4 linked regions of the Drosophila melanogaster genome follow. The protein of the gene in region 4 interacts with the protein of the main gene of each other region in a pairwise test. Each region holds a gene or a part of one and is shown on either strand. Other genes may lie near its edges. The genes, in order: CG7856, CG9624, Lim3 and CG8813.

Evidence for each region.
Region 1: the proteins of CG8813 (region 4) and CG7856 interact in a two-hybrid assay, tested with the Drosophila melanogaster proteins (one large-scale study listed by BioGRID).
Region 2: the proteins of CG8813 (region 4) and CG9624 interact in a two-hybrid assay, tested with the Drosophila melanogaster proteins (one large-scale study listed by BioGRID).
Region 3: the proteins of CG8813 (region 4) and Lim3 interact in a two-hybrid assay, tested with the Drosophila melanogaster proteins (one large-scale study listed by BioGRID).

Annotation. Positions count from the first base shown.
Region 1 is NT_033778.4:6,055,536-6,064,241, reverse strand, and holds CG7856 (uncharacterized protein), read left to right. Parts: upstream 1-4,683; 5' UTR 4,684-4,806; coding exon 4,807-6,858; 3' UTR 6,859-6,885; downstream 6,886-8,706. Other genes in the region: CCHa2-R (CCHamide-2 receptor), read right to left, coding at 1,045-1,361.
Region 2 is NT_033777.3:14,226,040-14,233,298, reverse strand, and holds CG9624 (uncharacterized protein), read left to right. Parts: upstream 1-4,153; 5' UTR 4,154-4,229; coding exon 4,230-5,099; 3' UTR 5,100-5,281; downstream 5,282-7,259. Other genes in the region: CG9631 (uncharacterized protein), read left to right, coding at 6,583-6,789, 6,863-7,034, 7,178-7,259.
Region 3 is NT_033779.5:19,102,927-19,111,881, forward strand, and holds the start of Lim3 (Lim3), read right to left. Parts: upstream 5,502-8,955; 5' UTR 4,461-5,501; intron 3,350-4,460; exon of another isoform or gene 3,240-3,349; 5' UTR 3,146-3,239; coding exon 2,797-3,145; intron 1-2,796.
Region 4 is NT_033779.5:2,866,687-2,873,922, reverse strand, and holds CG8813 (uncharacterized protein), read right to left. Parts: upstream 4,272-7,236; 5' UTR 4,178-4,271; coding exon 3,323-4,177; 3' UTR 3,274-3,322; downstream 1-3,273. Other genes in the region: Ifrd1 (Interferon-related developmental regulator 1), read left to right, coding at 251-287, 2,235-2,919, 2,991-3,234, 4,373-4,600, 4,669-4,752; CG2991 (uncharacterized protein), read right to left, coding at 6,256-6,586, 6,693-7,109, 7,182-7,236.

The sequences.
Region 1 (8,706 bases), on a different chromosome or scaffold from region 4:
CATCGTGTCTAGACAAACAGTCGCGACAAAGCCGTCGAGCAAACTGCTAACTTTCCACCAGGACCATTACGCTGGCCACCACAATAACTGCCCCAACTAGTGGCTCACTGCAATCAGGGACCATTTTGGAGTGTAGTAGAGGCAGTTTTCGGGCAATCAATGTATACTTATGACCACTTACACTTACAGATTAAGTTGCTCCAAAGCGAAGGGAGGGAGACAGTGGCTTCCAAACTCTGGCAATGGCTTCCTTAGCGACTGCTGTCAAGCCAACATCGTGGCCCAGAAACTTTTGATTCAATGTACATTTGAATTTCTGTTACAAGCCTGCACAAGTTTCAAAAGTTAATAAACATTTGCATAGCAGACGGCCTCCTTCCAAAGCCCCACCGCCAGCTGTCGGGTTGCCTCTGTTTCGTAGTTTTCTTGTCAAAAATAGAAAACAATAAAAGTGGGACAGAATACAGCTTGTAAATGGTCAAAGATGAATCTGGAATCCGGCTTGTAAGACCACATTGCGTAGGGGCAGAACTTTTTCTAAGTTTTCGAATGTTTACGAACACGAGGACTTTCAACATGTTAATCGAGATGAGCTAGCTGACTATCTTCGGATCCAAAGGAAAAACCAGATAATGTTTTTATTTTTCGCAGGAAATGTTAGTTTATTGTCGGAAATCGCAGACAACAGATGGCTTGTCATCATATTCGCTGTTTGCTTCGAGGAGTTAAAAACCTTTTATTAATTCACTCTTCGGGCTACGATGTTATTTGTACTGAAACAATAAAATCAAATGTGGCCTATAAGGCTGTCCATGAATTTTGAGTAGCAACTCCCACTCTCTTTCGCGAAGTGACGAGCTCATTTTAGGTCCAAATGTGCGACCGTATAATATAAAGACATTATTATTTATGGCCCGGAGAGGGCGGTCCCCAAGAAACTGCCTGTATCAAAGCGGAAGACCTTCAATAGATGTTATTCCAGGGCCCCCTGCCTACTTCCCCACCTTCTGCGGGACCCCCACAGTGCGTGATATATCCACTTACGTGTTGGGTATGTTGCGCATGGAGCGGTGGCGAAAGAAGATGATGACCAGCGTGCCGTTGCCCAAAACTCCCACAATGAAGATGAGCGTGTACAGCACGGTGACAATGTACGTCTCCGGGCGGTCCAGCACGGGCACATACGGTACTATTCCGCCGTCGGCGCTGGCATTGTGGCCCATATCCAGTGCCAGACCCTCCTGCTCCTGCTCCAGACCTTGTCCGGTTGCCAGGAGTCCGCTGTCATTGGCCCCGTTGCCGTCGCTATCCGCCAGCCTGGCTGCCAACGTCTGGCCAACGTCCATCAAGGAGGCGTACATGTGGGGAGGAGGGAGCTGCTCCTGGGCAAGATGTCTCAATGGTGTTTCTATGCGTGGCGTTTTATGGCCTCGCTTTGCCCACTTCCGTTTCCGTGGGTCTGCTGCCGTCCGTCCGTCGAAAGCCGAGAGCCGAAAGCTGCCGGTTCTGCCTGGTCCTCCGTGCTTATGTCGATGATGTTGCTACTGGTGTTCCCACGGGCTCTTGTTTTATTTTGCACATTGTGTTTGGCCGTGACCACTGAGCTCGCTGGGGCGGTTGCCCGTCAGCTTCTGCATGACTTTCGACAGTTGGCGCCGGAAGCTGTTAGGGGAGAAAGTGAGATAGGAAGAGAAAAGAGAGAGAGAGAGAGTGGTTCCGTCAGTTCAGACTAATTCAGTTAAACTGTAATCGGTGTGCATTTGCCTGTTCGTAAAGCACACGCTGCGCTGCGGCTTATCTACGCAGGCAAATGCATTACCTATGAAGCGCATAAATAACACGCATACGCAGCGTGTGTAACGGGGTGGGTAAAAAGAATTTATGACTCGGCATCTGAGGCTGAACCGTGTCGTGTACATCGTGTAAAGCCTAAGTGCGTATCGGCATAATAAAGAATCTCCTTAACATGCAATCGCTGACCATGTGTGCATTTAACACGAATTTACAACGCCAATAATCATAAATTTCGAAATATTCCCCCGGCCACTATCTGCTGTGCGGCAATCAGAGTCTTTCAAACATCCAATTATTTGTGGCCCTCCCTCCTACCCTTCGACAGTGATTATCTTTCACGCTCAGTTGCCGTTTCTAGACCCGCAATCCCACTAATACGAAAACATTCGTGCGGAAGCCAATACTTTCAAGTCGCAATCAAATGCGTTTATCCCCTAAAAAGAAAGCAGCGCTGAGCCTGACGCCCGACTAAGACAGACTCTAAGGCGGGTTTATCTGGGCTGCTGTCAGCTTGCGAGGGTGTTGTCCCGATGCTGTTTCAATTTCGCTTCGATTCGATACTAGCTATCGTTGCCTTTTGGTGAGCTGCCATTGATTTCTTTTTCGTTATTTATTTATTTTGATTGTGGCCTACGAGTGCGTGCGGAATGGGAGCCCATTCGCCAAATGAAATTCCATCAAGTTTCAGCTCGTGAGACTATTTCTGGAAAATCTAATCAACCAGGCTAAGTGAAAGTGCATTCCCGGGAGCTTTGTGGAGTCAGGCGCTTCAGCTGCTGACGAGGTGGTGCATTCGAGCGACATTAAATCACTTATTTACGGGAAATCACCTTGCACATGCTGAATCCGCAAAATTAATTTGAATCTAAATAATGCATCAGCTATGACCGGAGGTCATGCATATATTGCACCATATATTGCAGAGGGTACTCTGTCAGAAGTTTACAACGTAGTAAATTGGAAACATATAAATCATATAACATATAATGTTATGATTATACACATATCGTCCCATGTTCCATTTTCCGTCCATATGAACGCTGTGATCTCGGGATAAAAAAAGCTAGAAAGTTATGATTTAGCCAGCAGGACCATTCCTACTGTCTGAGTAACGGATATCTGATAGTCGAGGAAGTCGACTACAGCGTTCTCTCTTGCTTTAAATACACATATTTGTGTTTATTGCAAGGGTATCTAAGCTTCGACTTATCGGCGCCATCTTCTTTTCAGGTTGTGTATTGCGTTTTATCCGTGGCCTTGCCGATGCCAATCTCTTTTGCCGAGGCATGGGTAATTTTCGGCAAATAGAACTCTTGCCCAGGCTCAAAAGTCTTAACACATGTCTTGGGGAGAATTGGAGTAGAAAAATTGTAACACATGGTTAAGCACATTTAATCGTTGGGGTCTTAACCTTTTAATTTTATCACCCGCTCAACTTAACATATTTAAAAGGGTTAGGTTTTGAAAGATCAACTGTTTTGGCTTAAAGGTAAAATCTGCTCTTTTCTTGACTTATTCATCTTGTCCACTATAAATGCACTTCGCGAGTCAACTAAAAAAAGAGTCCGAAAACGTCAAATAGCTGCTGGCAACAACAAAGAATATGTCAGTCTTTTTTCTAAATCAGGAAACTTTTTCTTTCCTGTATCAAACTTTTGGATAGGTTTTTCACGAGCGAAAGCGGAAAAGTTAAATTTTCCGCTTAGTCCTAGCCGTAGACAAGCCATTTCATTTAAGAGGCCATCCCATGGGATCACTGGGCAGGCAACAGCCATCAACAAGAGAAATGATTAAACTTGACTGACCAGACACGCGCCTTAATGTCGTCAATTGACCTCAATCAATTATACACAATATTTTTTATTTGACCTTCGTTTATTCCATTAGAGTTTTTTTTATTTGTATTAAAATTCGGCGATGTGACTGTAAAACGCATCTGAGGCAGCCATTTGGCCTAGGAATAACATTTTTTCATGATTTAGCGTTGTTGTACGAGCTGAATTTGGTATGTGCTAGATAAAAACCAGCCGTTAAGCAATTTCAAATGTCGGGACACGGGTGAAATAAGCATTTGCCACCCGCAGTCAGTTCCGAGCAGGGGATGTCTTGGATGCCCCGTTGCGAGCAACCGCTTAGCAAAAGGCAAAGCCAGATATTATATGTTATCACCAGCGATGTATTACTGCTTCTACAGCACAGTGACTCAATATACAAATAAAGGTGAGAAAAAAATGCGATTCTCCTTTTTTTGACTTGTGCAAGAGCTTTTGATTTTGGAAACGAAACGTAGCCCAGAGAGACAGGGTATGGCGTTCCGTTGTATTTCGTGTTAGATAAATCATAAAGCAAAAATAATTTAATACACTTGCGTGCCCTGGTTGTAGCTCTGGCGACGAGGCGTATGTGCAATGCGGCGTGTCGGTTAATCATTTGCTTCTTTTATGAGCAGCCAAGCCGAATAATAAGCCTCAAAGAAAAGCGAGCTTAAAGGTGCACCTCAAACTCTGTTAAATTCACGGCCTATCACGACGGCACGACCCAACGCTCAACGCCAACTCATTATTTCCCCTGCAGCTCTAATTAGAGTCAAATATAACTAGGGGGCCTTGAGGACCCCGTACGCTAGCCTTGGCCATATTTAATGCGAGCTGAAAGGTCCGCGAGTTATGCAAATTTGCCCCGCCCACCGAATGCTCCGAACATTGACAAAATTATGCGCAATCGCGGGCCAGTCTCTCGGCTACCAACTTCCGGCGACAAAGTCAAGTCATGGATGGACATCCTGACCTCGCCCGCGGGTCCAGCCATTAGTCGTCATTAAAGATGATTGAATGCGAGCCCCGCTTTTGCATTGTATAAAAGGGGCACACTCCTGGTGACAACAGGGTAGGTAAAGTTGCCTTGGCGTCAGTTGGCAGTTTGGGAAAAGCCTACACACTTAATATTTCGATAGATACACTTATTTCGCAATCGTAGAAGATACCACAAATCTCTCTTCCGTAAATTATAAGTATGTCCAAGAGGGTGAGCATCATGTTGCCCGACGAAATACCTGCGGCTCCGTCAGGCAGCAGGAGGAACCCGATGCCCAGCCGCACACTCAAAAGTTCCATTAAAAGTGGATCAAGCGCTCGGACGCAACCCGCACCGCCAGTGTTCGTGGTTGTCAACCCGGAGAGCAGCCAAAGCTCGCTTACCTCGGGTCAGCGGAACAACACCAGCACGACCAGCAACAGTTCCCTTAACCAACGAAATAAGGAGCACTCCGCGGCGAGGTTGTCAGTAACCGAAGATACGGCAGCCCTGGACAGCAGTGCCTTGCTTCAAGGTGGATCCTCAAACTCTCGTGATACAGTTAACTTCGATTCGACCTCCACCTCGATCAGGATGTTCCTTAAGAACACAGTGGGCCTTGTCAGGGCAGGAGAGTCCTTCACATCTGTAAAACATCTCTTTCACAAGTTCATCAAACGCAGCGGTTCTGTGCCAAATTCCAAGCGTTCGTTGACATCCTCCTGCTCCCAGGCGGTAGATGAGGAAAATCCCTATATGAGCAAGTCCAATGATACGCTTCTGACGGACTCGCCCACCCGCACTACTGTGCCCAGCACCTCCCAGATAACGCCCACCTCACATTTCTCCAACTGCTCATTCAATAACACGAACTACGACCTTTCCAACCTCCTCTCTGACATCACCCCTTTGACTGGCTACACGCCAGTGGGTCTCACTGAGGAGGCTGACTACCGAACAGACACTTCCGCAAACACCGCATTGAACAGTGTGACATGCAATTTGGCGAGCTCGTCGGAGAATCCTTTGGGAAGCGGATTCGACAACAGTCCCTCGAAGATTTCTACCGATCAGGAGAAGATAGCGGACACACAAGGACGTCCTACTTCCAGAAATCGCTTTAGCAGCAAATCTTTTCGCCAGAAACTTAAGACCTCGCGCTCTAGTTCACCCAGAAAGTCGCCCAAGATGTCACCTCGAAATAAGCAGTCAGCACCTGCAATGGAACCCATATTTGCAATGGTTAGTTCATCTGGGCCTAACTCTTCTGAGGGATCACGGCGATCGAGCAAATCGAGCCTGAGGCGGAAGCAAAGTCCATTACCCAACGTAACTGCCAAAATCTCGGCCACCTCTAATTCAAGAGCGGACTTGGCTAAAGCGCCCAAGTCCAGGAAAGAAACCACCGCCCGATCAAACCTATCAAGAAAGAGCTACCGCCGGAGTTCACCCAGAAGCCGAAGTCGAGGTTCTCGGGCAAACGCCTTAGAGAGCCCCCTTCAAAAGAGCGAGGACACCCCCGACAATGTAGAGTACGCCTTCGCTCTGGTCAGCCCTGAGGAGGCGGGGAACAGTCAGCCTGAAGAAAGTAGTGCCGGTGTCGAGGATGCCTCCTCCAAGTGCGAGACATACCAAAAGGATTGCAATTGCCACCATTGCCAGGACATGCGTCGGGCGGTCAAGAGGTCCGACTTTTTCAAATCTCCCGAGGGACAGAAGCGGCTAGAGGCGAAGCTACTGGCCAAGAACTTCTTCATGGACCTATGCGTAGCGTCAGAAGTGCGCCGACAGGCTCAGTCCGATCTGCATGGAAAACGACGTCCTCCATCAGCGCGTCTCAGTTACCCGGTGAGCATCTGTGGAGCGTGCAGGCTGAGCGGAGGCTCGCTGTCGTTGCATTGGATCACCCATGACCTTGACAGCGTAGACCACTTCGACGTTTTTGTGGACAACGTGCCAAACCGTAGTGTCTACAACCGGCAGGCCACCTCCACCGTGCTCGTCGACGTGAACACCACCGAGACGCACACGCTGCGCCTACGAGCGGTGCCGGAGCGTGGGAGCCGTGGTCAGGATTCCTCGGTGGACAAATTCATGTCGGAGGTGGCGGCCGGGCATATGCGTCACGTCAGGCAGGGCCAGCTCTTCGCCACGTGCTTCGCGCACCTGGACGCCCGGCCGCAACAGCGTTCACTGGTGGATTTCTGGACGGACAGCGAGTTCTTGTACATGCCCACCCGCGAAACTCTTACGCCTTCAAAGGCTCGCTGACTGGCGAAAATAAACTGATTTATGAGCAGCAGTCCGTTTTGGGAGTGGATATGCGGCAGGAACAGCTGCGTGGGTGAAAATTGATTAGGCTAATTTAGAAGTGATGACCAATCGGCGCACTAAACTCTCAGTGCAAAAGCAGTGGCCCGGCTCCCACCTGCACCACGTTTTGCGAGATATTCAAAACGAATCGTGGGCCTGGTGCGGCCATCAGTCAACGAGACATGGGCGCTAAGCATCCCGCGCGTCTTTATCAGTGGCTTGCAGGCAGGCTGGCTTGGCGTGGGGGGACTGGTACTGACGAAGGCGTTTCGCGCTGATCTGTCAGAGATTTTGGGCCGCAAAGTGGCATGATTAATTATTTGGCAAATATTTGGATTCCGCGCTCTCAGCTCAGCTGGCTTCACCATGGAAATAAGGAAAACCAAAAATATGCGGACTGGCACTTTCATAGAGGAAAGAACGGGCGAGAAACCCAAACCGTTCAGTATTTTAATTAATTTTCACTTTCGTTGGGGACTAGTGAGCATTCCATCGACAATGTGATGGACAGCTGTGGCAGCAGTGCCAACAGTGCTCCCTCGAGAATCAGAATCTCCCGTCCACGATTCACTGGGCGCGTTCTGATTGAAGCGTTTTGCATTTACTTTGTTTTGGTTTCCCTTGGCGCGTGATTGGTTCCGAAATAAACAGGGGCCTACTTTTATTATTTGGATAATTTTCAATTATCGCTGTTATTTCCCGAAGTCAGCAGTTCATGCTTTCAGCCCTCTCTAGATATATCAATACGTATTTATACGTACATATCTACATGTTGCCACGCGGCGAAAACACAGTTTTTATGGTCGCATCTCGCGGCCACTTTCAATTACTTTTTATTATCAGGTCCACGTTCCCCCCTCAACGCATTTTTATGTGCTGGAAGCAGTTGGCTAAATATTTTAATTGATTTCATGTGGTCCACGCCAGCCATTTGGCCAGGACTCAGCCCGATCAGAATGCAGTGTTTTGTAAATATTTGCTTTCTCGCCCAGACATCCATGTCCGTGCCCCGAGTTGTTTACGGTATACTGTTTATGGGAAATTGCGTTGCTTAATGTCAGATCTTCTAATGGCCATGATGACGGTAGCGATCATTGCTCAGATGCGGAATCTTACTTAATCATCTTCAGTGTTTTCCTTACATATTCGGCAGTATCTATGAGTATTTATGTGTACTTTGACAAGACGTTTTGGCTGTTAGAATATGAATTCTTAATTATTGGACTGGGCAAGGTCTAGTAGCTAACTGCAGCAGAAAGTGTCAATTGCGATCAGGTAATTTTTACTATAAAAGTCTCACGGGTTATTCAAGTTGGATGCGAGCATGTCTTTCTATTCTATCAAGATCATAGTAGCACCTAAGTTTATACAAAATATGTATATCAATTTGTATTACGATTTCGGTCGAGTACTTTAGAGTGTTTTATCTAATATAAACATGTAGCTTTCATTTTTATTTCCCCCCCATTCAAAAGCTGTTTTGTCATTTGAGCAGTTAGACAGCCGGTTGCGGTTTGTGGCTTAGCCTAAGTCACTTAGCTTAAGTCACTTTTGATCAGCCCAAAATAAATTAAATTCCAACAGAAGAGAAAAAATGCCGGCTAGTAAGTTTCGGCGAAGCAACCACATTTAGCTACACGTGATGGAAATAAAGCTATTCCACACAATGGGGCACCCTTGGTCTCCTCGGAAACATCGAATTTAAATTAGAACCGTTATGCAAATTAATCATTTGTTGCCTTACTTAATTTTTTCATTTTCCTTGGAATCGCATTATTTGCTAACTAAATTGGAGCATGCGAATCG
Region 2 (7,259 bases), on a different chromosome or scaffold from region 4:
AGTGCTGGAATTTCAACATCGAAATGGAAAGAGAGAGAGAGAGAGGGAAAAACGATGGCCAGAACGAGAGGCAAATAAAGATAAATAGTGTTTGGAAATGTTTTCGTGTTGCCTCTGCAGATGAAACGAAAATCCATAGACTCCGGACCGAAGCGAAGGTCCTGGGAGAATCCTCCTCATTCTCCACAAATATCTCCCTGTTTTCCCCATTTCGCTGTCGTATAAATAAATACGTAGAGAGCATCGCATTTGCAACATTTATTGAGTCGTTGAACGAGTTGAATGAGTTCGGGTTTGCTTTTTTTCTTTATTTTTAAACTCTAGCTGAAAGGCTCCACACCATCCGGCAAAGACTAAACGAGCATACTATACCCAGCTTAAATATTGATTTACGACCACACACACCCTTCGCTGAGAAAGAGAGGGCTAGAGGCGAGGAGAGAGAGATGGAGCGACAATGGTCAAGCGCAAAACAATGCAGGCAGTTGGAATTTGTTTTTAAGTTATGACCAGGCGAGAATTTCTATTTTACTGTGAAATCTGTAATTTTCCCCGACAGCAAGGCAAAACTTTATGAGAACAAGCATCATGGAATCCGTTTATCTTGTCTTCAAATTGCTTTGCAAGCTCTCAATAATGACTTAAATCGTTGCATAAATTGATTAATGGATTTAATTATTTTTGATCAAGAAATCAGGAATAATAATCAATAGAACATCTTAATCTTTACACATTACAATGCGATGTGAAAACTCGTAAAACATAATAACCAGCAGGTTGATAAAGTTACCTAAAAAGTGCGCCTATTCCTCTAGTCAAGTGCAGAGTTTCCAGGACCCATTGAGACCCACTTTCATCGCACCCCAAGCGTCTTGAGGATCCTCAAGCCAACTGATAGCTTTGACTGCACCCAAGGGAAATCGTAATCAGCAGTTGGGTCGAATTCGAAATTGCATTCATTAGACGGCTGTGGCTTCGAGGGAAAATTGAATGTCAAGTGCAGGACGAGGAAAATTTAAGGCGACTGCCACTCCATGGCAGTCTGCAGCCAAAAACAAGAAGAGGAATAAGACCAGGAATAAGACGATCCGATGGAATGCCTTGCGATGCAGACAAAATGCGCAAATTGGTTTCACTTGACAGGGCAAGCGTGAAAACGATGTTGTACTAGTCCTGCTCGACGCTTTTCCCGCTCGACTTGAGCCGGAAAACTTGGCCCAAGTTGCGGCAAACTTTGTGACCGTTTTGCACACGTTGCGCATTCGCCGCGTACGCCGACGCGCCCACATGGCGTATGACAAATGTGCCCTCAGCTGATTCGCAAATCGCTGGGCACGACACTAGCCATTAGAATAGATTAGAGCATCTGGGGATTTGGGACAAACCTGGTAAGCAGCACTCAGCACCCAAGGTGTTTGCAATTGCTTTGTCAGCCTCCACTATTATTGCGGTCTGTTTGCGCTGCCCTCTGGTGTCATAATAATTAAATGGAATTAATGCCTGGCCGGCCAGAAATTCATCACTCCAACCATCTATTGCTGCTATTGCTACACTGCGAAAAATGTATTGGCTTTGATGCCCTTTTATGATTTAATAAGCATATATTTATGATGCAATCTTAATAATGTTTCTTGGAATCAAGTTTAAACGAAAATCATGTTCTCTTTAGTTATAGTAAGATATTCTTTAGATTAGAAAGTTGAAAGGTCTTGTTTATGGGACAGTTTTTTCTCGGTGTTGTGGTGCGTGCCGCATTCGCTTTGTTATTTGAGGTGGCAGACTCATTTGTAAGCCAGTCCAGGTTCCCAGACCGAGGGAATCTCTTGAGGTGCCTTGAGCCAGCGCTTTGTTCGTAGGTTTTGTTTTGCTTATGAATACCCGGCCTTGAACTGAAATAAAGAAGCTGTCGTCCGACTTTCACTTCACTCGCACAATATGAATGTGGGTGTTTTCGGAAAATGTTCAAGGAACCATTCCATACATGTCCAACTACCCACGCAAATGTGTACGAATTTATGTTCTTAGTCCGCTGCCCAATTTTCGGATCAAAATAACAATAATTGAATATTTAAGTTGCTACTTTGAAATATATATTTATCAACACCTGACAAAAAACAGATTTTAAATAATAAATATTCTTTTTTATTGGTGCTGTCAAAACGGAGGATTGCGAAACAAAAGAAATTCTGCGCATATTATATTTTCACAATTTTAAAACTTTCCCAATTGTAAAATAATAGTCAATTTCGTTTTCTTATGAGCTGCTATAGCTAACAACTTGCATAAAAGATATCAACGACGAGAACATTGCACCAGTGTTTTTCGATGATTGATGGATGAACAGCACTGCATCAATCATATTTTTTTCACACTCTAGTGATAATTTAATTCATATTCAATAGTCTGATGGTGGCAAGTTTAAAAAGTCCCTTTACTTGCCTTCATATTCAAGCATTCCCTTTTGAGACGCTGAATTCCGCGTATCTATTTTTCTGGCAAAAAAATTCTGTAAGGCTTTTATTTATGTAGAGAACCTCAAACCGCAGAACGGGTTCAAAGTGCATCTACTGGAAGTTCCTGTGGCCTTTTCTCTGCGGTGTGCCAACTCAAATGCATAGCCAAAAAAAAAAAAATAATAAAAAAAATGACTCCAGTTTTACGCTCGAGTTTTGTGTATATTTTCCGTTTGATGTTGGGGCTGCTTTTCCATTTGTCGAATGCTTAAAGCCATTTGAAAATGATTGGCTTTTATGTCAATAAGCGTCTCAGTTGTCCTTACTTGTTTCAGTTTTTCTTTTGCATGGCTTTTTCCTTGACTTTTTTTAATACAGCTGACTTCGCTTTTTCTTTCGGTTTTTGCTCTCGCGGTTTTCTCTTACAGTCTGACGCTTAAGTGCCCCAATAAAACACAATAAATATACACATAAATTTTTATACACATCCCGCATATAGAGGACAACTTTTTTTTGTGGCCAGAGAGCTGGAAAAAGTCGTCGCGTTTTGATAGATGAAACGAAATAAAAAGTAAAACAAATACGGTGTTTTTAGCTCCCGGTCACTTATGGCTTTAAATTTTCCAGCGAAAGCAAAATTAAATTTTGAAAATTAGAAGGCAACTAAGGCTAACCGGATGCGATAAATCATCGTGGTAAAATTAAAATCGTGGGTTCGAATCAAAATTTCGCACTGGCGCTGAATATTAAAACAATAAGTGTTTGAACATCGAGGCGTAAAATAGGCATTCGTCACTCGGTTTTCGGTGCACCGACATAAATCTAAATTCAAACCTTTTGTGGATTGGATTTTTGCTAGGTGCCTTCGATTTGTAAGCCCACTGATTGTGTTCAACGTGGCACGAACAATTGATTTATGAAAATTTATTGCTCACATGCGGAGGACCAAAAACCAGGCGCCCGAGCGCCCTGCGATAGGCAACACTTTGTGTTTGAAATTAAAGCTGCCACGCCGCGAGCAATAAAAGCAAAGCCATAAAAGCTAATGAGCCCGAAAACTCGTCACCGTTGTCACAGCCATTTCCCCTTCGGATCTGCCACGCCCTCCTTAAACTAATATATATGTATGTATGTTCGAACTGGGGCATAATGAAAATCGCGGCCATCTTGTTGCGCCTGCATTCCGTCATAAAATCCTGTTTCACCTCACTGTTTCAGCTCATAAAATAATGGCGATCGTCGGCTACCGTGAATATACGGCATGGAATGTCGTAAAATTTACGCAAATTGTTGTTGCCGATTCCCGATGAGAATACTTACTTACCGTTATTGCCTGTGAGTGCGCATAAATTTGGCAACAAATGCAAACAAACAAGTTTAGCTATAGAAAAATGTGGGAGGGCTTTGTTATTAGGGGGCGTGCCAGTAGCTGATTTATTTCGCTGATAGGAAGGGATGTGCTTTCACTGCTGCGAATTTTTTGAAAAAAGATAATAAGCATATATACATTTTATAAATTTTAATTCTTATTTTAAGCTACGAAACTAAAGACTCTGTAAACATGTTAATATACGTAAAAATCTGTTGAAATAATGTATATTAAGTTTTGGGCTGAAATTAAGAAATCCAAATATTTCTAGGTGTATTTTAATGTAGATGCCAGCAGATTTGTGTCACCCTATTAAGCATTTGATAGCGAGGCAACGGAAATTCTGCCATAGACACACATTTGCTAGCCAGGCCAAATTACATGAATAGAAATTCCAAGTACCCAAAATGAATACCTCCGAAGTCAAACGAACGCTGGGTAGCCCCTTCTTCGACGTGCTATGGCCATTGATCCTGGACGAGAATGTCTGTCGCATCGAGACCAAGCCGGACGAATTCTTTGTGCCCCGGCAGCCCTTCAATCGACTGGATTGGCATATCTATCTGTCCCAGGTGGGCTTTCCTTTCTACATGCCGCCACATGAGCTGCGCTGCTGCAAAGGAGCCCAAAGGGAGGAGATCGAGAACGAGGATGCTGAGAATGCCTTAAACCAGGAGGTGGAGGAGCGAACGGCGTCGAATCAGGTGGACTTTCTGCGCCATGGATCCCGGGACATTAGACCCATAGATGAGGTGGTAAACAAACTGAGGATGGAGCAGGAGCGTCGCCAGAAGTTGGCGTACGACTTTGCCAATCGGCGCTATCCTTGGACCATGCAAACTCCCAGTCACGAACTGGGCTTCACCATCACTGAGGAGCTGCAGAAGTGCTTCAAGGGACCCATGGAGCTGGACATCTTGAGGGCCATTCATGATCACGACTGCAAGCTAATGATTATCGATCTGGGCACTGATGTGGACATTAAGGACTGCCAGCGCTGGATAAAGTTTCGTCCATATATTCAGTTACTGGCATTGCCTCGAACACCTCGCATGGAACGATCGCTTCAGGTGCTCAATGTCTTCCACACGTATTTGGTGGAAGAATCGGCTGATAACTCATGGCACGATGAGGTGCAATACTCCCTTCGCACAGCTTTTGTGCACGCACAGAAAAATCAGCTCCTTAAGTCCTGCGGAGAGCCATTTGTCTTCGTATTTAGTCGTTTTCGTGGCATCTGCACCTGCGATACCTATAAGATAATCCGACGGGCATAGAACAAATTCTTTCAATTAATTTCCATCAGCAGTTATTAGCAAATGCCAACTGAAGTTGCTATAGACAAGTAATTATTTATTGCTTTTAAAAAAATTTCAAAATGTAAAAAAAATCTCAAGTTTACACAAGATTATATATATTACATGCAATAAATCGAATTTAAACATCATAACATCTGTTTTAGCCCAGTTTAATACTTATTCACGTCGCCTAATTTGATACGACTTGATTTGCTCCGCCCGGCCGTTCAAGCCATCATGTTGAAGTGGCGCCCGAACAGGAACCGCTTCAATTAGGCCGCCCAATTGGAGCTGCCTTCAAGTGCAGTCAGACGCACGCTACCTGCCACTTGCCACCCGATTATTGACGCAGGCGGAAGCCTGCACCACCATTTTCCGATGTGTTGTCAAAGTGCCTCCGCTAAGTTGGCAGACTTGAGCCCACGGCACAATTCACAACAAGTTTGTTTGCGAAAAAGAAACGAAATCGAAAAATTTCGCACCAAATCTCAACAAATTATTACAAAGCTTAACAAACTTGAAACTGATTATAAAAGTTGCCGGCAGGCAGTTGGGGCAAATTGGGGGACCGGCGGCCACAATGCAGCAAAATTGAGTTGCGGGTATCGTGAAGTTAGGAGCACTTCCCCTCATTCTCTACGGGCTTCCTTTTTGTTTTGTTGGAAAAAGTTTTTTTTGGCCAAATGCGTTGTCGCTATAAACGTCGACCCACAAACATAATTTTCAATAGAAATTCACATAAGCCACCTTGCCACGCCTGATAATAGCTTTGAGCAAAACTTACGCGATTTTTAAGAGGAGCCGCCACAGATCTTGAAAATGTAAAAAGTCAGTAGAAGTATAGAAAAATAAATTTAAAAAGTAATACTTTTCTTATCAGTTCGTAAATGTTTCTTATAGCATCAAAAACAAATTGCCCAAACAAATAAGATAAATTAAAGAGTACTTGTGCTTTAAAAGCCAATGCTAGCTGTTTAAATTTTAAATTGCTGTCAGGCGTAAACTAAGCCACAAAAAGTTGTGTTTTACAACAGTTCTCGATTGATACTGAACAGTTTTTTGCTATAAAAATTGAGCAAGATCAGAAAAAGAGAAGAAAATATTTCTTCAGTTAGCTACGAGCATATCATATATATACGAGTACATACAGTGGGTTTGTAAAACAAGTCACATGTTTACTTAGATGGGGATTTTTCTCTCAACAGTAGCTCCTCTGTTAAATAGTTCCGTGGAGAACCAGGTTCTTAAATAGCTGTTAGTTAGTTGAATGATTAAAAATAGTACTAAGCCGAAGACTTGATATGGCTGGGAATAACCAGTGATCACTCAATGGGGGTGCTCCGCAATCTGGCGAGAGATCAGCTGTTACATGGAGAGGGAGTGCATCGATAGTCGCTTGTGGATTCCGATTTCGATCCCAGTTCTCATTCAGTTCCATTCAGCATTGGTTGTTACCGTCGCAATGACAATCTTGTGGCTGACCTTGCTGGGCCTTTGTCTCAATCTGAAACTCGGGTCGGCGTTGCACGTGCCGCAGCATAATTGTGAGAGGTATTTCTCCTACTACAAAGAGGACAGTGGAGCCTACATTGGCGTCTTCACGGCGCCACGCGCTGGTGTGAACAGCCTATCATGGGAGGTGGTTTTCACTGCTCACGGAACTGGTGAGGTAAAGCCCTAACAAATTACATATATATTTGTTTATTTCAACTGATTCAACATTCTGATATCCCCCCATGCAGGCAAACACTGTGGGCTCACTCATTCCGTATCCCAATAAGGAAAGGGCCTTTGAAAAGATACACAGCGGAGAACGTGGCGAGGTGTTTGTGCGTTTCACGGATTTTGGAAACGAGCTGCCCAAACTTGTCCGGGCGGAATTCAACGGCGAGGTTCTGTGTCAAAATGAGGAGTGTGAGTAATAATAAAACTAGATAGAATATCTTTAGTTAAATTACTTTGAAATAATTATTGTTACCCTAAAGATATTCTATATAGTAGATGATCTCATATAGTTGATGATAATTTTCTCATATCTTTCTTTTTACTTTGTGCAGATGATGCCCCTTCAAGCACAATGACCCGACGCCAGTCCATGTCCACCTCAACGCCAATTAGTCAAAAGTCAGCACCAAGAGA
Region 3 (8,955 bases), about 16 Mb from region 4:
TTATTATTCCATTTAATATATTTTTTTGAGTTATAAAAATATTGACCTCCGGCAAATCCAGTCCACAAAACATACCAATATCTTCAAAGCGAATTGAGCTCTTTTAAAAAGTCATCTACTTAATCACTTTTTCGACTACAAATGATGGGCTTGCCAAACTTCGTTCAGCCTTTTCAATGGACAATCAGTTCTCGAGTGAAGTGTTTGCTTGTACTGCGTGATCTGCGCCTGTTGACATTATGACAAATTACATAAGCCAAAGGCAACAATTGCCGGAACCCATTCCGGAAACGCGGGGAAGGAAGGAAAGAGGGAAGGAAGGAAGGGGGAACAAACCGAAAACGGATACGCTTAGAAGGACTTGGAGTGGTGGGGGGTTTTAGGGGGTGGTTCGGGCTGTAGGCACGTTAATAGGAAAGCCACACAAGAACTGCTAACGAAGGACACGCGGCCGGCGGTTGAGCGACAAGTGCGTTGGGAAGAATTCCAGTCACACACAGGACACAAGGACAACGAGGTCCTGGCAGCGGGGTGGATCGTCTGTTTGCCGAGCACTAAGTGCGCCGGGCAAGTGGAAATGATAAACATATTTACACAATTTTTGACGGGCGAACGGGTGAAACAAAACACCCGTGGGTACAGTCGTACCCTTCACCCCTTCCCCCTCTCCCTCCACCACACCCTCCCCGCAGTTTTCCCATTTCTTCGCTTTTCTGGTGCGCGTACGCACTTGAAACAAGCGAAAGGAAAACCAAACCCAAACTCGATAAATATGTTTATGTGCAAATAACAAAATATTTGTCGATTGCCCGAAACGAGTGATGGGCGGGGTGATGGGCGGACTTTGGCTTCGGGGTAGGGCAGGCTCTAAAGGCAGAGGCAGCTCCAGGGTTTTCAGGGGTTCCAGGGGTTCCATGGGTTCGAAAGAAGCACCGCAAGCGCATAATTCAATTTTTCTGCTCGTTTTGCACATCGCCCGGCACACGTCACTCGAGTCCTTTGGGACACCGACGAACTGCCATGCTACACCAGCTAAGCCCAGCCCAGCTACACTGCGAGAAAAGTACACAACTACACTGCAACAAAAGAGCAGTAAATGAAACATGAAGGTTAGAAACAAGATTCAACATTACTAAAACTTCCAGTTTCATGAAGTGTGTAGTCAACCAGAACTCCAATCCTTTCCCTTGAAATGTGCCCAGATTTAATCATGATTAAAGTTCAGGTTGGTTAAGGTGTTTAAGATATCATACTGATATTATAATAATATATTATACTAAGAATACCTTAGATTTTCCGTTCCGCTTCAAATTGGACCTCTACCAAAAACGGGATAAGTCATTCCCGACTTACTGGATTTTTCCAAAGTGCACGCACTTTGTCAGGGATGCAGTGGATATTAGTGACACGTGGCGAAGGCTCGACCAAGGCGATCCGCAGGTCCCAGCACATGCGGTTTCCCGGATCCGTCCCCCCCCCCCCTCCTTTCCACCCAGGAATCTATATTTATTTGTTTGTAATTACGCGTGTTCTAAAAACGAAATCCCGCCGCACTTGAAGCCGGGAAAATGGCTAAACGGCTGAGCCTGCTCTTTTCAATGCCCGAAAACTTCGGCCGGGAACACACGTGCAGTGGACGACCGCCTCCACTGGTGACCGGGTATTCCCAGCGCATTAGCAACAATGCCGGAGACATTTGGAGTTTGTCAACAGTTTCGCATTGGATTTGGTTACGGCTTTGTTCTCATCAGCGGCGCGTGTCCCTGTCCGATGTCATCTTCTCCACTCTCGACGCGACTCAACGCGACTCGACGCGACTCGACTCGACTCCAATCCGCAGTCAGTTGTCAACTTTCTGGGCTGGCTTTTAGTCCGGGGATTGCCGATTGATTTGGCGTGGGATTTTCGAGTGCGGCACATGTATGAAACGAAATCATAAATGTGACAGGCCTGGATCATAAGCAACTCGCACAAAGAAATCCCTTTGACCATCCTTGAGCCATCTCAAGCAGCAATAAATCATCTCCTTCGGAGCCATTCACCATGCATATATCCTCAAAGAAAACTTTCTGCCGGAACTTTGCCAGTTATATATATTGCAGGAAGTCCCCTCGGACCATACATTTATTCCGTGGCGGAGTGCATAAAAAAGCAGGCGGTCCAACCGAGCAGCCGCAACACTGAGCCCTCCTAAAAGGGCATTCGAAATGAGCTGCTCGGAGATGTGGAGATGTGGAGATGTGAAGATGGTGGTCTGCCACCGGGAAAGCTTTCGTATTTAATTGAAAAACACTTAAGCCCCAGTTCGGAGGAGCCAAAGCCAAAGCCAGGCCAACCGCAAGGCTCTTATGTGACCCTAAAAGACCGACCTCATAACCCCAACTCATCTTCATCACAAGACCTTTCTGGTCGCTCATAAAAACAAAGGGCGAGCGCAAACAAAAACTTTGCATAATTAAGGCGCGGCCAACACATGGGCAAAGTGTATTCAAAGGGTTAACTTACAGCAGAAGTGAAATATACGGTTTTAACATGAAAACTGTATTCTCAATATTTACTAAAGCAAAATTAAGAAACCACGATATTTTTTAATGTAAATACGACTATTCTCTCTTTCATTTCAAAAATTGATAAATTGATAAATAAAATTCAAAAATGTAATCTAAGTTTGAAAACCAAACATTTTAATAATATACTATTCTTGGCAAACATTTTTGTTCACTGTGCAGGAAAATCTCCTAGGCAGCCTTCAGATGGACAGGACTGAATCAAAGATGGCATGACTTGGCCACTTACCCTCGAGCGCCCGGTTCCTGGAAATTAAGGCGAGCACCAGTTCGGGATTTGGGTCATCCTGGTCGACAGCCAGGTGATTGTGGTGCGGATGTTGCTGCTGCTGTTGCTGCCCACCGACCAGGTGAGATGCCTGCGGCGTGGGTGGCAATTGTTGCTGCTGCTGCTGCTGCTGATGGATATGCGGCTGATGTTGCTGGTGATTATCCATGGCTGACAGGTGCTGTTGCTGCTGCAACGGATGTTGCAGCTGCTGATGCGGATGTGGCTGCTGCTGAGGCGGATGCTGGAGCTGGTGCTGATGCTGGTGGTGATGATGTAGCGGTGGCGGTGGTTTCAGGGTTTGCATCATTGCTGAGGGGCCGGCGATTTGAACACGCGTCGTATGAGTTATATGTATATTTCAGTTAGCTTATTCCAATTGGCACACGTTTGTATCTTTAGCCCTGTTTGGTGTTTAAAAAGCAATCTTTGTGTTAGTTTACCGCACTCGTTTCCCGTTTAGCGTCTAAACGAGACTCCGCTAGGCGGGATCGCTGTCTGCTCGATAACTGGCATTGGTTTGTGCCCAACAGTGGCCCGGTTGACTGTTTTTCCCTTATCGCGGCGGTCTCTTTGGGTTTCGGTTTCTACGGTAGAATCTAGATTCCAGTCTTGCCACTCGGTTGGGCTCGTGCTCAGTGCTCGGCTGCTCTATCAGTTGAAGTAGCCAGGGACTTGAACAATTTGAATTTGTTTGCGATACCGGGGCACACTAGACCATCTATTGTTCGGGTGCTTTCGACCAAGTGCAAGGCGGGTAAACTTTATGTAAGCCGAGGATAGGGCCAAACTGATCGGTAGATATTCAAAAGACCGTTTGGCGCATATCTATTCATCGTCTATCACGAGGAGAATTCTCGTGCGAAGACAACAAATCGGATGTGCACTATACTATCTATCAAAAAACGGTCAATGTCCAAGGTTTTTTTATCAAAAACGAACTGCTAATGGTTCCCAAATCAAACAAAATAGTTAAAAAAAATTTTTGTGAAATATTATAACGTAGAATATTTGATAGCAAATATCCATTTAATAGTTTATCAGTATTTGAAAACTAGTTAAGATTGAAGATAATTTATTTTATAGAAATTCAAACAAACAAAATAGGTAAACAATTTATTTTTTGTGAAATATTAAAACGTAGAATAATTAATCGGAAATTTCCATTTAATAGTTCTTCAGTATTTGGAAACTAGTTAAGATTGAAGATCATATATAAATGAAACAAAATACTATGAAATTTATTTTATAGAAATTTAATTTTAGGAGCAAAGCTCCTAAGATTAAATTGAAATTAAAATGGCTAACATCGGGAGTTGGAAATCGCACATTAATCTTATTTTGATTGCCTTAAATCTTAAAACAAACAAAATCCAATCGTGTTAGTATTAAAATTCATATACTAAACATTTTAAAATCCTAAACGTATCTTGGTTTTGTAACTCTTCTCAACACAATTTGCTCAATAGACTTTTTTGTTTTAAGGATCTACTGTTAAAATGTAACATTCCATTTTTTAATCAAGCTGGCTTTCTTTTCAATAGTTCCTCAGAATTTTAGCCTTTTTATTGAGCCTTTCGTTATGCGACGGAATCGTAAAACCAGTGGAAATGATTTGCATTTACCCTATTAAAATTTTTTGCGTCACTTTAACACTCAACTCTAGTATTTGTTAACTTTGTTAATTATTGGCTGGTTTTTAATTTTCTTATTTCAACATTTCGTATTATTTCGTTTGAATTTTCTGCGGCACTTGAACGCGATTTTATGCGAACGCCATTTTGGCGACGGCATCGGCAACTTTAACGGTAACGGTAACGGATTCGGCAGCGAAAACGACGACGGCAAATGCGAAGCCAGTGCGACAAAATGGCGGCGGCATGGCTAACGGTGTTTGCCCAACGGTAAGGTAACGGTCTGGAAACGGTAACGGTGTCGGTAACGGTACGGCGGCAACCCTGGACGCGGCAACACTGGCAGGCGGCTGGTATTGTTGCTGGTGGGAATCCCCTCTATTTGCCGCGCTGCATCTTTATTTATTTTCTTGGCCGTCCAAACTGTCGTCTCTCCTTTTTACTTTGCGCACTTTTTCACGCTTTTTCTCGACTGTGCGAGCTTTTAACGCTGTTGTTTTTTTTTTTTTTTTTTTTTGTTTTTTGCCTTTCGTCTTGTATTCGTGTGCCGTTTGCCGTTTGCCTTTTGGCCGCCCACATGGGTACGCCGTGCGTATACGTACTATCTGTGGGTGTGTGCGGGTGTGCGGGCGTGTGTTTACCAATTGATCCTAATGTGACACAAATGATATGGTAAAATGCATACAGCCAGCCCTGAATGGCAGGACAACAATGGCAACAAGGCGGCGAGGCGACAACGCCAGCAGCGACAACATTTTTGTGCTTCTTTTTGGAGGCCGTGCGCATGTGTGTGTCGCTCTCTGGCGATGCCCATTTGCCCGAAAAGTCCAAATTCCAAGAGCATTACAATATTTGTAAAACGCAAAAACTTTAGCCTCGTCGAAAAAAGAAGGTGTGGAAACTTTTTTTTGTTTCCCTCTGCCTCAAGAAGCTTGAGCTGCAAAAGTGCAGGGGCAAAAAAAAAATGAAAAAAGGAAAACAGCACAGTGGGTAGAACAAAAAGCCAACCAACGTCGAGCGCGACACCTTCGTTGGCCCCAAAACAACAGTAAACAGCACTTAAAAGTCAGCAGCGACGTCGACTGAGGCGAAACAAATATGAGAAACTTAACTCAAAGGTCCAAGTCAATACGCGGCGCGCGGTCACCAAAAATGCGGGGTCTCCACTGGAAAACAGGCACCGCCCCTTTATATTGAAAATCGCTGGAAATCGGCCGACGATAGAGTCCAAAAGCAACAAGAACTTCCAGGCATGCGCAGGCAGTGGCCATTATCTTATCGCCCCAGCGTCGCCATTAAAATGGGGCTGGGGTGGCCATACGCTTCTATTCCTAGAGTTCGATGTCGTTCCAGCGCCGGCGCACTCGAAAACCCAAAGCTGGCAGGGTGATGGGAGAGGGGGGAAGTTGCTACTCCATGCCCGAGTCACCCGTTGCCCATGAGTTCGCTGTATCTGCATAGGATTCTCGCTGTCTGTGTAGTTTCGGAACCCCTATATCTATAGTGGATACTTGCCACCCGTCCCGAAAACCCCTTAAATGCGTTGCGTCTGCAAAAACGATTTTGTTTTCGCATTTATTTATGAGCCGCTTAGAGCGCGCCAAATACTTTGCCAAACACTTTGAACCCCAACGCCATGCTCGAGAACCCCACGCCCCCGCTCCCAACGGATGACCTCCGCCCACCCACCGAAGTGGACACTAGCAGGGAAGGTCGTTTGTGGGTTGGGTTCCGCGCTGCGGCGGAGCAAGGAACGCGAACAGCTGGAGTGCGTGGGTCGCTCGAAAAGTATGCCCGGTCTGAGAAAGTCTGCATAAAATGCCAGATACAAAGTACGTATAAATATTAGAAAAAAACATGATTCCATCTTATGCTGTAAAATGTATTACTTCATACTTATACTAAGACTTTTGTATCATCATCATTTACAGCTTGCCTGTAATATATATTGGATACTATTACACAGAAGCTAAACTATAAACTGTATAAACTATATTACATATTTCCTTTATTAAACATTCAGCATTTTCTTATTGGGCTTTCGTTACGCGTGCGGAACAACACGAAAACACGGCATACCCTTGAACCCAACTAGTACCGATTATAAAAAAATATAGGGTAAGAGCATAAAAATGCAGCGTGACCCTGAAACTGAAACTGATCGTGAATGGAAATGGAAATGGAAATGGCTGATGAAACCGATGCACTCAATCCAACGCGATCCCAATCTATGGCATCCCAGGCGGAGCTTCACTTCCGCGGTTACCAAATCGACTTTGACTTTCAAATTTTCCAACGCTTTTGTCGCAGACGTCTGTCTAATGGAGCCGTTAATGGTTAGACACATGAAGTATTTTGCCAAATGGGCTCGACTTGGGACGGTTAATTGCTGATGATGTGATGATATGGAACCGGATCGGCAGTGGGTTTTGGGGGGGATGGCGGAGATTTAGTAAGCAGCAGTGCTAGTGTTTGGATAACACATTTTAATAGACAATTAACAAGCAGTTTGTTTAAATTTTCTTCACCGACATTTTTAACTTTTGTCCGGCGATCTTGTTTTCGCTATTGTGTCTTTTGGTAGTTACATAAACATAAATCTCGGCAATGGGCCAGTCAGAAAGACAAAAAACTTGCTGCCACTGCACATTTTCACACATAGCCGGATTTTTGTTAACGTTGTTGGAGTTCCCCCCCAAACTTTTTATTGGAGGGTCTCGAGATTCGGAGCTCATTGAGACTTGGTTAAAGCGCAGCCAGCTCATTTGTAGATTCGAATGTCAGCGGTGAACAAGTGCGGAACCAGCGGAGCGGCTAAATACCCAAATTCCCCCCCAAAGTAAATCGCGCCTTTTTTTTTGGATTAACCAGGATCATGGACTTTGATGAGTTCCGTGAATTTGGCCATGCCTCCATCGAGTTCCTTATCAACTATCTGAGCGGCATACGTGAGAGGTGTGTGTCTGGACTTTTATCCTTGGAGCGATGCCTCTAAATTCTGTGTTTCTTCCAACAGGGATGTCCTGCCCAGCACGGCTCCATATGCGGTGATCAATCAGCTGCCCAAGGAGATTCCCGAGCAGCCCGATCATTGGCGCGAGGTCCTCAAGGATCTGGAGAACATCATCCTGCCGGGTCTGACCCACTGGCAATCGCCCTACTTCAATGCCTTCTATCCGTCATCCTCGTCGGCGGGCTCCATCATCGGTGAGCTGCTGATCGCGGGCATCGGAGTCCTTGGATTCAGTTGGGTAAGCTATATACATATGTAAATGGTGAAAAAATCCAGCAGATTCTCCTTTTTTTAAATGAATATTCATATTAAATACGTGCGTGAATGTGAATGAATTAATGTGGAAGAACAATCATAAGCAACTTTCTTCATTGTGTTTTCTTAGAAAAATGATATAAAAAAAAAGGTCAGTTAAAACTTAAATTTCATATAATTACTTAAAAAAACTAATTGTATCTGAAAAGTGTTGCCATGATAATTAAATTCGGATAAATATAGCGAATATACACGTTTGATTAGCTTATGATCGTTATATATTAAAAACTATTAATACTGAACTTTTTTACTTTTTATTGTGATAAAGAGACAAATTTGAAAGAGTTTCATTTTAAGAGCCTTAAATTATTCACACGTGAATTTACAATTATTGTTCATTAGAGTCAACAACAATAACAACCAACAATAATCAATTGGTTTTAAAACTATAATTTCTGTCATCAATTTGCCTAAGAGAGAGGGGCTAAGAGAGCGCCAACCGACCAACAAAAAAGTGGGAACAGTTTGTGACCCAAAGTGATTTCCCACCAGCTATTGTTCGAGTGTCGTTGGTAACAAAATCTTTTGGCCAAATCAACGCAACACTTGAGAAATCCTTATCGATTCAAAGAACTATGCGATAAATATGCTCAGGAGATAGGCACTCAACGATTAAGAAAATTGCCAAGTAATTGTTTTTCTATAAATATATGGCACGAAATATACGAACCCAACTATAATCCCGGTGACCGATTCGTTCCCTAATCTCGCAGATTGGACACGCTTCACAAATCACTGTGCAGAGCAATCGGATATAGGTATTTTCGAAATTAATAGCTAAATTGAAAAAAAAAGTATTTGAATGGCACTCTCGTATAAAAGAATAAACCTATTACTATATACCCCTTTGTGTAAGTAGTATAAAATAGTACACACTCCTTTCTATAAACTTTCAACAGTATTTTAATGTTTTGATTATGTTAATTGAACAAACTTCGCATTTGAATTTTAAAGTATCAACGAATCAAAGCTAAATTAGTTAGATCAAAAGAATAAAACAAGTCAGTTGCGCCGGTTTTTAATGATTTCTCAAAACTAGCCAGATTGGCTGAACCGACAGCTCTGGAGGCTGTCCAGAGAAGTCGGAGTATAAAAGGCAGCCGTCACCGGCGATCGGTTTCAGAGTGAACCTCAGGCAACTTGGAGGAGCATCAACGG
Region 4 (7,236 bases):
AACACGTGCGTTTCAGTAGTTGCCGCCAAAGCAACGAAAGTGTAGACATTTTCGCCGTTGTGTAGACTTCGACGCCTGTTCTCCACCTTTTGAGGACCCAGAACAGGAAAAGGACACTCGGCTACAAAGCATCTGTTTTTTTTGTGTTTCGTACCTTGTGTTTGAAACAGTAGGCTAAACAATAGAAACCAAAACGTCGTCGTCGAGTTCAAACAGCAAAATACCTGAACGACGCAAAAACAACAGCAACATGCCGCGACGCAACAAGAAATCAGCAGCAGGCAGAGGTGAGTCACAAAGAAAAGAGAGTGTGTGGGTGTGCACAGAAAAAAAATGCGAGGTTGAACGTATCCAAATGCGTATAATATATCTATTGGATACGAGTGTGAACTTCCAGCTGAAACAATTGACTTTATAGGCTTAAAATTAGTTATTTTGCCTTTAGTAGCAACATTTTGGGTTTAATTACCATCTTAACCTCATGGTTTTCTTGTTTTTTACAAAATAAACGAATTAAATCGCACATCTGAACAATAGACTTAATAGTATATCCCCACAAAAGCCGGCGAGGGTAGGTGAATTTTCACAGCTGCTTTTCGTTTGACCTTTGCATTAGTCATGCACTGACTAATGAGTACCGTGCACTGTTTGGTGTATTTCGTTGGCTTCCAAACGAAGGAAGCTTCGCTGCCTGCAACCTGTTTGTCAATACCCTCGAAATGAAATAATTATTTTCGTTTTGTTGCTGTGCTGGCACCAAAAGCTTCACGCGCTCAGCTGGCTGCGCAACAACAAGTAATCAGCGGTTCACTGAAAATATATATACATACGTATACATATGTAAATTTATACAGCTTTGCCCACCAATAATAACAATATAACCATAGTAATTTTGACAAAAATTCCAAATTATGTAATATAAAGTTAAATAGCTGCATTTCACCAAAGGAGGAGGTTTTAAGTTTCTGCGTTGTTTCTATGTTGAGCACAACTGTATATAAATATAAATATACTTGTTCGTGGAAAAACATACGTACACATATGTATATGTATATGTGTACGCTCAATGCCAGCTTATCAGAATCACGCCTATAACCGAATACCTCAGTGCAGGGTATCAGTGGGTATGTTTTCGTAGGGCGTATCAAATTATGTATTCTATTTAAGTGCTCTATTATGCTAAGTTATTATTCAAGCTGTACCTATTTATATAGTTAAATATCCGAATTGGTATTTATAGGCTCATCATACAATCATTTACAAATATTAAATTTAAAAATAAAGAAGCGGAAGTTGTGGCTCTTCGGGGAACTTTCCTCGCATCTAAGTATATACCTCATGGGTGACCTAAAAACTTACGCAACTTTGTGTTATGCATTAGTCGCTCTCAAAACACAGATGGTTTACTCGCCCGAATCTAATCCAAACAACTTTCAAGCAAAACCAGCTGTTTTCCACTGCTTTTGATTCGTTTTTCTAGCCCGCAGTTACCGCATGCTTTTGTGTTTGTAGTTTGCTCGCAGCTTTTGTGAAAGGCAAAACAAAAAAAAAAAAAACACAAAAAACGAGGCGGAAACTACCTTGCCCCAAATAGAAAGCTGAAAACAGGCACTGGGAAATCGCCACAATGAAAGTTGTGCTCTACGACGGGTTTTCTTCGACGCAGTTGGCCAGCAAACAAAGTGAAACATCGAAAGATGGATAGAAAACTTGTTGCACAACATTTGCGGCTCCCGAGCTGTTTTTCTTGAAGGTCATTGCTGTGTGGCAAAGCGTGTAATTGAATTTCTAATTTCAGTACATATACATTTCCCCATCTAAATGAGCACACAAGCAATTGAATGAAAAGCTGCTCGAAGACGGCAAAACTTGATGCCTCTTTTCAGCTGGTTTGACAGTTACTGAAGGGAAATGTGGGCACTTGCATGAGGGTGGTCCCAATATTTTACTCCATTTAACAAGGAATACAAATGGGGTTCTGAAAATAGAATAATCATTACATTGGTATTCACTGAGTTTCCATTTGCAAAATGCTTAGCTTACATTCCAATGGGTTCGTTGAATGCCTAAAATGTGCAATTAAGCATATTGTTCAAAACGATAGCTGTTGAAAAAGGCTCACAGGTCGCATTAGCATAATAAATATTTATGAATTATGCTTGAAAAACTCGCTGAGTATAGCAAAATACTTCAAAAAAAAACCTTATTAATTACCCAAATGATTTCTTTTTCAGGCCGCACCAATGACTCCAATTCTGAGGACGAGTCCTTTGACAATGTGAGCGTTTACTCTCATATGTCCGAAGTCGCATCCTCGGAGGCCACCGACGAGCTGGCCAATGAGCGTTTCGAGGAGAAGTTCGAGAAGGCCCTGGAACAGGCCACCGAGAAGTCGGCCCAGACACGTGTGCAGGCTCTGCAAGCGATTTGCGAACTGCTCATGCACCGCTACATGCCGGACTTCGTGGAGGACCGCAAGATGACCCTGATGGATTTCGTGGAGAAGAGCATCCGTCGAGGCAAGGGCCAGGAGCAGGTGTGGGGCGCACGACTCGCGCCCCTGCTGGTGCTCCAAATGGGCGGGGATGAAGGCATATCCAAGGCGATGAATCAATTCCTGTTGAACACCGTTCAGGACAAGTCCGTGGGCTTCGATGCCCGTGCCAAGTGCTGCACAGCTGTGGGATTGTTGAGCTTCCTGGGCTGCGAGGATGTTGGGGAGTTGGTACACCTGATGCAGAGCTTCGAGGCCATCTTCGCAGGCAGTTATTTGCGTGGCGATGACAAGACACCGGTATCCGTCACCGCCGAAGCTGGGACTTTCCATGCGGAGGCCTTGAACGCCTGGGGGCTTCTACTAACACTTATACCTTCGGGGGATTTTGTTTCGTTGATGACCACTGGCCAAAACATGTTTCCGTAAGTTTGAAGAGCAAGTTCCATTTAACTTTCAAACCCATTGCTATAATTGTTTAAACTAAACTTTGCAGATCTATTAAGAAGTTCTTGGGTCTCTTGCAATCTACACATTTGGACGTCCGCATGGCCGCTGGCGAGACCATTGCTTTAATTCTGGAGTCGGGACGTGCTCACGAAGAGGATTTCCTAGAAGATGACATCGCTGAGTTATCGGAGGCCGTCAAGCAGCTGGCCACGGATTCGCATAAGTACCGCGCCAAGCGCGATCGCAAGGCCCAGCGTGCCACCTTCCGTGATGTGCTGCGATACCTGGAGGTGAGTTGAAGATTTGCACGAGTGCTACGCTTAAACAATAGGGATTACATTTATTTATTTGACTCGAGATGCACTAGTCTTTGGACGATTACTTCATGTCAGTGCAAGTGAACTTGAGCTCGTGCTTGCAGTACTTGGCCAAGCACTTGGAGTGATCGTGCAACTTGTTGCGCATGATGACGCAGCCGTTCCGGCTTATCGAGTCCATGTACTCGCTGAAGGTCGGCACCTTCCGGTATGTGGTCGGGGCGGAGTTCCAGTGCGAACTGCTGCCGGATTCGATGGTCTGCGAGGAGTCCGAGAAGCTGGTCTTGAATGGCTTGTAGTTCTTTTGGCACTCGTCGCTAGACATCTCGTAGCCAGCGGACGCCTCCCGCTCCAGTTCGTTCATCACGTTCGAGCGGAACTCGTTGCAGGGTCCACGTTCGCTCATCAGCTTGTTGGCGTTCTTGGACTCGTCCTCCGTCTTTAGGCTCTCATAAATACCCTCCGGGTACTCGTTCATGTTACAGTAATCGATCTGATAGGTGGTGTTCATACGGTTGGTCTCCAGCCTGCGGCTCAGCTCCTCCTTGGGCATGACCTTCAGGCGTTCATACAGATCCGGGTAGACTGTACGTAAGATCTTGAGAAAGCGGTTGGGTTGCAGCTTAAAGCAATCTGTTTCCGCGGAGAAGGCCATCTTGTCCACCTGGTCCTGAGTCAGCTGGGTGGGTATGATACGCGGATCCACCAGCTTTCCCATTGGCGCTATGCCCGTCCACTCGACGCCGCCACAGTCCTTAGACGCGTTCGGCGGCATCATGATCTTGGACTCGTCGACGCATTCGCACTCCTTGACCTGCGGACCACTGTGAGCCTCGGCGCCCCTGGGCCGCGTTAGAAACTCGTACCGTTTGGCACTGGGCGGGACATAGTCGTGCTGATAGGTTGATAGCATCATCTTGATAACGAAATCTACAAAACTAATTGGCCAAAACAATTTTTTTTAGTAGTTTTTTTTTTTTTAACGAGAAATTTGGTCTGTTTGATCTGATAGAGAAACTAATAGTGATACATTTCAAAATCGTACGAAATGAGATTAGAATATTTGCTCGTAGCCTAGCCTGATTTTAAAGTTTTTTTTATCTCGTTGCAGGAGGACATTTCCCCAGAGATTAGCATTCGTTTCGGTACCGAGTCGCTGACACTAGATTCCTGGTCCATCCATCATCAGTATTCGGCCATGTGCACTGTCATGGGTCCCGGGATGACCTCGCAGCTGCAGGAGAACGAGTTCATCCGTGACATCTTCCAGCTGGGACCACGACCCACGAACACAGGCATCAATGGAAACGCCAAGGTCAAGCCGACCAAGCTGGAGCGGGTAAGTTGATTGAAATGTGTTAACATTCGCTTCAAATTTTAATATATTTATATTTGTTGCTTTTGCAGCACCTTGTGAATGCTGCTGCATTCAAGGCACGCTCCATAACACGTGGAAAGAATCGTGACAAGCGATCGGCCGTCGTCACTTAAACCTGTGCTTCACCCACCAACCGTTCCCATCCACAGACACCCAAACCAACCATCTCAAACCCCGTTAGCCAACTCTGGACTTACTAGTTGAATTGTTTCTAATTTTAGCTTGAACCAGGCAAAGCGTCGCCAAAGCTGAAGAACTAAGTCTAAATTTAGGATAATTCAGTGTAATCTACAAAATTTCTCTAGTTTATTAACCACATGTTGGAGCCATTGTTTGAATATTATGAAATATTTATTGCGTGCACGCACAGTGGTTGTTTATCAGTAAGTGCATGGCTGGCTCCAGCTTGGATCTTATTCTTTGTGAATTTAAATTAACACTGCGATTGTTACGACTGGCATTTACGCTTTGCGATTTGGGTTAACCTCTTTTGTTGTTGATCTTTTTAAATTACAAGCGTAGGAAAACATAGTCTGCTTTAATGCTGCGAAAAAGTTATTCATAACTTGACATGGCTTTTAATACGCATAATAAGCGGCTCTATGAATACATATATTTTGTAGTAAATAAGTGTAAAATAAAGTTTAGGCTTAAACGAAAACTACTTGAAATGCATTCTTACTGGTGGGGATACAACAATGGACTCCTTTTTAGAAAACACTTAAAAAACAGTTTGCGTTTTATAAATTGTATTTTATTTGTTAGTTTTATCACAAAAATTGTATGGTAACTTAAATTGTATGTTGGATTCTTTCCTTTTGTGGATTTTGTTTTGTTTTTCTTTGCTTTGACAAATTTTGTGTAGTAACTACAATAAAATTTATATATATATATTATATATGTTCGTGTGTATGTATATATGGGCGCAGCTTATACAAATCAGTTTCTTAAGGAGTAAACTTAAAGGTTAATAAGAAACGTATTTCCATCAAGTACAAATTAAAAACTTGTTTGCTTAATTTAATATTCGCCAAGTACTCGTGTTTTGCTTGCTTCTTGTTTGCATCCATGGATGAAACCGATAATGAAATGAAGGAAATCAAAATGCTTTCATAATTTAGGTGTAAATAAAAGAAAACTATAAACTATAAATCAGCATGGGGACTGACTCACTGGCGCATCTAAGCACTATCTTCTCGCTTATTCGCTCTTCAGGCTACTTGGCAACGCGTTCGTAATCATAATCTCAGGATGTTCTCGTTTCTGTTTCCGTTTCCGTTTCGCTTTCGCAATTGATACTGACCTACACTTATTCTACGTAATATTTGGCTTCTTGTAATACACTTTGCTTCTGGAAATCTGCATGATAATTTGAGAGACGAAATTCACTCGTTAATCGAAACGCTTTTCGCTACTCTTCTTGTCTACTCGCTAGAGATTTAAACCTATGTACACGGTTGAGGATAGAAAGGCGGGTGCTAGGACCCACCTCGCGTGTGATGTGTAAACTAATAATTGAGCATTGAGCAAAACCTGTGCAAAACGCATGCTAAACTAGGTAAGTAAGTAAGTAATGTTTTGTCTGTGGGGGTTCAGCTGATGTGTGTGGTAGCCTCTTAGGACGCAGCTCCCGCCCGAACCGCCTCTGCGGAGGTGCTGGCGCTGACCTCCTCGCAAATGGTGTGCAACTTCTCCATCTCCGAGCTGGTCACGATGTTGATTGAGCTAACTTTGGCCCGCTGATAGGCCACCACGGTGTTCTCGCCCAAACACTTGACGCACACATAGCCAATGAGCACGGCGATGCCCACTGTCATCACGCGCACCAGCGGATCAACGTACATTTGGATCACCACCCAGGCGGTGGCACCGGTTACGCACATCAAGGTGATCAATATAACCGTCTTGGACCAATGCTGAATGGTGAAGCCCTTGTCCCATTCGAGTCTGTAATAGAGTGTCGTGTTATCAGTTATTTACCATCAGTTATAAAATGGTCTAACTGATAGCTATGTGGCGGTGACCCATTTCCCTATTTGCAAATGGCACTTACTTTTTGGACTTTTCGATCTCGTAGGGATGTCCGCAGACCTTGCACGACAACTGCGCCTCCGAATTGCTGCAGCTCTCCACCAGCCAGCGCTTGAGACACTCGTGGTGCACCGAACTTACGTCGCCAGTGCAGCGGCAGGGCTGGATGAGGGGCTCTGGCTTGTCGGAGTCGTAACAGATCCAGCAATCCTTTTTGGTTAAAAACGACTGGCCCTCTTCGGGCGAGAGCTTGTTGGTCTCCGCATTTAGAGTGGGTATCGACGGATCAATTTGGCGGGATAGAAGCTTGCGAGGATTTAGAATCCAGAGCTGTTCAGGAGCCATCGAGTTCCAAAGGCAGCAGGGAAACCAGAGAGCCACACCGATCTCGGCGATGCGAAAAATGATGTCATGCCAGTTGCGCGAGTTAACTGGAACCCTTTGTGGTGGCGAAAAGAAAAGCTTTTTGTCAAATTGGCAGCTGCAAAACTAATTAAAAGCCTCTACTCACTTGGTCTTCCAGAAGTCGCCCAAAGTTTCGGAAGTCAGAAAGCCCACAATCACGA